2 linked regions of the Drosophila melanogaster genome follow. The protein of the gene in region 1 interacts with the protein of each later gene in a pairwise test. Each region holds a gene or a part of one and is shown on either strand. Other genes may lie near its edges.

Region 1 (3,100 bases):
AACGGGGATGGGCTCTTTCTTTGGCTTCACCTTTTCAGGTGGTGGTTGGTCTTCTGGTTTAGTTTCTGCAATAGCTACAGCAACGGACTTCTTTTTGGGTCCCATCTCGATATCTTAAATTTCTACTGTCTGTCTGGGCTTTCTTTTATGGAGGAACTAGTCTGAGTCATTAATGTTCCAATTATAATGATTTTTTTTTACTTTAGATTTTTGAAATAGTATCTTACGACTTACTACACTAAACTTTACAATAAAACTGAGGTAGACAGTGTTCTGAATATAAAAACAAGCCCAACTCTGACCAGTTTCAAATGCAAAATGACTACCAAACACTTATGACAGAGATCAAGGCATGTTTCGTTTACTTTTGGAATTCATAATGAGTACTTCCAGTTATTCGATTCCATTTGCTTATCTTTCTGAACAACGTTCTCAATGCAAAATCTGCGGCAAGCCCTCTAAATGCTGAACTGGTTTTCTGTTGTTTCCCCAAATCTTAAAATCACAATATGTTTTCGATAAATCGAATATTTTATTAGGATATGCTGTACTGAAGGTGTTGAACAAACACTTCGTTTCTTTCCATCAAGGTCTGCATTGCGCTCCTTGTAGGATTCAGATAAGTTTTCAGCCAGAATGACCATGAACACCATGTCCCACAACTGGACCATGGCCTACAACTGGACCATGGCCTACAACTGGACCGTGTCCAACAGGACCAGCGTGTCCCACAGGTCCGTGGCCAGCATTGACTGGGTGTCCTCCGTGTCCTACAGGAACATGGCGCAGATCACCGGGAGTTGCCTGGACGGTAGCCAGGGCAATGAGGAGGAAGGCACACAGAGCAAAGAACTTCATCGTTTCAAAATTTGATACACTTTGAGGTGCTGGAAGATCTTATATACCTAATATCGTAACCGTTTACAGTTATCTTTTTTTTTATAATTTTTCGTTATTTTTTGGGTCACAAAACACTAAATTATACGAAATGTATTTCAATATATAGGTTGCCCGTTAATTAGCGATTATGAACAGGTGCGATCATTGAATACCGGTCATTCTTGTTATTTCTGCATTTGTTTGTGCAAACAAGTTTAATTATATTATTTATGGCAACTGTGCTTTGTATAAAAAATATCCAAATTTTTAAAGCCTATATTTAGGCTTTTAAGTAAATGTAAAATAGGCTTGCTGCTGAATTTGATTTATTAATACTCGACGTCGAATTGCAGATGTAAAATAATCTGTGTGTTTGTGAGATTTCATGCAACTAATCGGATCCTCCGATTAATTGCAAAATGTCCAGGAATATGTTCATTACATCCATGTAAATATTTAGGGCAGCGAATATGTACTCCTCGGGACTAATGGAGTACCTATGCTTGCCTCCCATCATCAATTGTGTATCGTAAACTAAATAAACGGAGAAGAGCAGAGCGCTCAATGAGGCATATATGGTGGTGACCATATGTCCGCCCACGAAGATGGTCACAATTCCAAAGAAGAGCAGTATTATCAGGCAGCTCACCAGGAGGCCACCCATGACGGTAAAGTCGTAACGCGTCTGCAGAGCAAAAAGGGTGAGTCCAAGGCAAACTGACGCCGTGATTAGCACGGCCATGAAAATCTCCATTGGGGCATAACGACAGGCTGCCACGCCCAGCAGAAAGGACTCGGCTATCGTGAAGGCAGATAGGAAGATGAAGTTAGCTGGGGTCTGACGACGCAGATCCTCATTGCAGCCCAGAGCCACCAGAGAGAAGACCACTATTAGTATGGCCACCACAAATATCCAGGTGCTTTCTGCCACCATCAGACGCACCCGTTTATCAGCAGTAAGTGAAACTATAACCACCAGGGAAGTGATCAGTTGGGCCAACAGGATGAGGTACACCTTCCGGATGAATCCTCGCCGGATGCTGGCGCTGCAGAATCCCAAGCCCTTGTCTGGATCATCCTGTCCGATTTCCGATCCGTAAGCTGTATATCTTCCCAGCGGAATACACTCCGCCTGGTGGCTCCGATTTCCATACTGATGTACTGGTTCTTGTAAAATATCCAGCATTGTGTCCTTCGAACACAACTTTCAAGTAACTGCTAATTCTTAATTTAATAACCTTTGTCGGAAATTGAAGTATAGTATGACAGAAGAGTCAACGTTAAATGGAATTTACTTCTTAGAAACTATAAATCTTCTTTTCATAATTAGTAACTATCATAAACATAACTTTAACTTCATTTCTTTAGAATTCGAAAATTCACAATATTATAATATTATAATAATATATATCCAATACTGTCTTCCGTCTTATATACATTTGCAGTAATGCGTATTTATTAAATTCAAACAACAATTTTATGTAAAGATTTAAATATGTGACTAATTTGAGCAAAAACGGACTTACGGATAACTAAATGACTATATGGCTATATACACTCTGCTGTTAATACTTATTATTTATACATATTTTAAATGGTTGCAAATGTACCCCTTAGTGCGTTGCAAACTTCTGTCTGAAATCATTATACCCTCTGCAAGGGCATACAAATAAATACAACAAATTCTGCTGCTAAATAGAATATTTATTCCAATATTCAAGTAGCTTTCGTGAAATTATAAATTATCCAGCAGTTTTCTTAAGGTTCCCTTCAGAGATCGCACTGGTCTCAGGAGAACTATTGGCCTGGACGGCAGCCAGGATGAGGAGCAAAAAGGCGCACAGAGCGAAGATCTTCATTTTGGTAACTTTAATGAATACAGTCTAACAGTTGGCATGGCGCTTTTATACTACCGTTTGCAGTCGATTGAGACCAGTTTATAATTTCTATATAATTAGCATATTTAATCAAATTCTTATGCTCGTATTAATAGAATTTTAGCAATACTTTGAAAACAAGTTGGATTGCGTCATTAACAATCACAAAAAATGTGCTCCCTAATATAAAATAAAATTATTTATAATACTATTATACTAATTCCTATAATTCCAAACGGCTGCCATTGTAGCTTAAGAGAAATAAAACACGCTTATTACATTTTGACTTTTAATAAAAGAATACAATTATTTCCTTGATTTTGCTCTCATTTTTTGTATTATCT
Region 2 (3,760 bases), on another chromosome or scaffold:
AGTTCCTGTTTGAATCGTCCTGTTCAAAAATAGGATATATGTACTTGGGTCATTTGGATAGTGGCCAGCATGCAAGCCAACCATCTGTGCAACACCGAAAATTGTGGGTGTTTTTTTTACGCGTGGCACACACAGTTGCCCAATGGCGGGGCATGCAGCAAGTGGCAGAGGACCACCGGTCGTATGAGTTCTCCTCAGAAGGCCTCCTCCAGCCAATCTGCCAACTATACCACCCAACTCCAACTCTAAACTACCAACTCCGCACACTCGGCCGACTGCCGACCGGTTTTGTTTAGAATTTTAGATTTTAGCGCGTTTTAGAATTTTATGAATGAATTTTTGGCGCTCGGCAGTGCTCCGCCTGCCTGCCGGGTAATGCTCCCCTTTTTTTCCATACCACCAGAAATGGTTGGACCACTCCGAATCGTTTGGCTCGATTCACTTTTAGTTTTTGGCTAGTTTTCGGTTCCCCATTTGTTTTTTGGGGGTGTCGATGTGACCTTGCCGGGGTGTTCCGGTGTTGTTTAGATTTAGTTTCTATTGGGCTACACTTCTGCTGGTCCGTTTTTGCAGTTGGCACAAATTGTGCATACAGAAGTTTAAGGGCCTTAGACAAAAGTCGGTCCTGTGCCCGTTTTTTTTTTTACATAAGAATATTGATTTTATAGTAAATGTACAGATTGCGGCACTTTAAAAGGGCAATGAATTGAATATAAGTAATAGCTGTTAAATATACGATTTGTATAATTGCATTGAAAACAAAGCATATTTTTGGCTTCAATTATGAATTCTTCTCAAATATTAAAAGTGAATTATTTTTAAAATACTGCTTATTGCAGTAATAAAGTTCAAACCACCAAATGCAAACCAAATAGTCATCCTCCTTTTTCGACACAAAATTCATTTGAATGACTCATTGTTTATTTCAACAATTAATAAATAATATTATTATTATTATTGTTCGCTGTAGACAAAAGAAAGATTCGACCTAAGCTTCTGTGGCTTTCGTCTATAATATTTCAATATTCATATATCTACTCGTACATCTGTAGGAATATAGAATAATAAATAAATATAAACAATAATTCATTTTCTTTACATAAAAATGATTTCTTCGTGGTCATTTTAAGATATGGCATTGTATAAACATGGGAAGGAAGAATGTGCACTCATCGTTGAGCTCCTTGAGAAAAATAAATCAATTTCAGAATTTAATTGCTTGTATGCAGATAGGTAAAGAAATTCATGTATACATATATCATCCTTACTAAAGTTTAACACATACCATACCCATCAAAAAAACGAATCAAACGCAGTGATTTGAAGACCGCCCTTAAAGCTAAACAAAGAGTGCTTTTTGTGCACATTCATATATGTAAATCACATAAACACATAAGAGCACTTATGTAAATTCTTATGTACTGCAGTATTTTAGTAGGTTTTGTTAGATTTGATGCAGGCAAAAATGCCTATTAAAAATGCGTTTGAAAAAAACTGTTGCATACCTGAAGGCGAGCGCTCAAATTAACTAACGGGACACTGAAAGTTGCAATGAGAGAATATGCACTAAAGAGAGAAAGAGAGAGACACGAATTCCAGAGAGCACAGCATCCTAGTGTGAGAGAGAAACCCGAAAGGTGCCGAAGTTAACCAAAGTGAGATGAGTAGTGACGAAAGGGAGGATACAAGGGGATTTCAGCACTAGATGTAAGGTTATAAAAAAGGGGGGCGGTGTTGAGGGGAGCCTTCGGCACTAAGCCGGCGAGAGAACAAATACAAAAGCGAAAGCGAGTAGCCGGCATAGGTGCCCGTGTATGTGTTCGAGAGAGGGAGGAGTGTTATTCCTGCGTATGTGTGTGTGTGTGTGTGTATGTGCACATACATATATTCGCACTGATGTGTGTGTCGCCGTTGTCGGCAATTTAAAGAGTAAATAATTGTCTGCCGCCGGCAAACATTTGACCAAACTGCTAGTCCACCGAATGTGCCACGGTATTGGTATGGCTTGCTACTTTCGGCATATGTATTGGTGCCGAGTATCGGCTCTTCGTCACCAAACTCTACACAATTTTAGGCGCCGGACGAACGCACTTTCAATCAGTTAACTTTATAACGTCAGCGCCGACACTACGTTATCCGGTCCAATCGCATCAAATCGAAACAAATTGAATCAAATCCGGCATTAAATTTTGCACTTGTATTCGTTGCCGCGCTGCGATTTACGTCGCGTTGTTACTTTCACGCGACCAATTCGACGCTCAACGTCAACAAAATCGCGTGAAATCGTGTGTCTGCCTAGTGTTTTGCAACCTGTATTTAGCATGTTCCTAACGTGCTTTTCAGCCAAAGAGCCGGCAAATGTGAATAAAGCGATGAGCAACTGAAAAACTGTGAGTACATAGCACTTTTCGTACATGCAAATCACTTAAGGGAAATTAATCCAGCAAATGGTCATTTTGTGAAGCACACAAATGTAAGTGCCAAAGTTTAGTTTATTAAATGACTCGTGGCGATTCCTTATTGGTGTACACTGTGCAAAAAACTATTGGGAGCGAAACTATTAAAACAAGAAGTTCAGTAGTGTGTCTAATGTGTCCATCAGATACTCTATACACATTTAAGAATTATAATCTTAACCTTTCTGCTTAGACAACAATTATTAACAATAAAACTTTTTGATGACTGATTAATTTCTGTAAGCATCTCCAAATATTAAAAAAAAAAATCCTAAAATGTTTTTAAAAAAATAAAAACATCAATTTTCGACTGAATCAAAGTGTAAAAAAAGGATTAAGGAATTTAAAATTTTTTATTTTAAAATTTAATGAAAAGGATTACTTTAAAGTTTCTCTTGTCAAAATACATTTTTTCCCCAAAAACACACACCCATTTTGTTAGATATATTCCACTCTCGAAAGTCTGACGAACTTCTTAAATCAGGAAATGCACTTTCGTCAGAATGCCGGCTACTTAATGCGCACACAATCGGGCAATAAATCAGCATTTAATGTGCCTGCATTGAAATGCGGAGTCAGCCGACATAACGTCATCGACATCATATGACCGCGTTTCCGAATTTCCCCGAATCTTGTGTACGTGCATTGTGTGTCGGCCCCGGCCCCGAAATACGAAATACGGAATACGGAATACGGAATGGAATACAGAATGCACGGCGCAGCACAGACGACGGGTCATGGCCACGGCCACGGCCACGAATATGGCATTTCGGCGACTCCGGTTGCGGATACAACAACGGCTCCGGCTGCAAACTCCCGGCTCTGCCGTGCGTCGCAGTTTCACTTTCACGGCGCAAACACAGCTGCGAGGGTGGCGGAGATCTGGGCCGTGGGAGTTACGGGTGTTTTGGCGGGCGCGACTTGCACTCAGCCTCACAGTTTGTCTTTCCGAAATCGGCGGGTGCACAGCCACGGACACGGACACGGATACGGATGCGAATACGAATACGGACACGGTTACGGCCCACTCGAACTGCCAATGACAATGCCGCACAGTGGGAAGAAACATATTTTTATTGGACTAAGCTAAAGTCTTTACTATTCAGCAATTATCTTGCTAGTTATAGACGATATTTTAACGGAGACCCATCACATTACGTATGCGCAATATTATCAAGTATACGCCGCGCTAAGTACTAAAATGGCATACGAATATATTTTTCCCCTTCAACATTTGATAGAATTTAAAAGAAACGTTATTCACCCATAACATTTATCAACATTTTATGGTTCACCAGCTTAAG

Evidence for each region.
Region 2: the proteins of CG42500 (region 1) and CG7368 interact in a two-hybrid assay, tested with the Drosophila melanogaster proteins (one large-scale study listed by BioGRID).

Annotation. Positions count from the first base shown.
Region 1 is NT_033777.3:14,151,695-14,154,794, forward strand, and holds CG42500 (uncharacterized protein), read right to left. Parts: upstream 957-3,100; 5' UTR 859-956; coding exon 628-858; 3' UTR 517-627; downstream 1-516. Other genes in the region: CG14355 (uncharacterized protein), read right to left, coding at 1-105; Recs1, read right to left, coding at 1,271-2,065; CG44215 (uncharacterized protein), read right to left, coding at 2,622-2,738; CG31533 (uncharacterized protein), read right to left, coding at 3,063-3,100.
Region 2 is NT_037436.4:11,595,070-11,598,829, forward strand, and holds the start of CG7368 (uncharacterized protein), read left to right. Parts: upstream 1-2,132; 5' UTR 2,133-2,390; intron 2,391-2,942; exon of another isoform or gene 2,943-3,752; intron 3,753-3,760.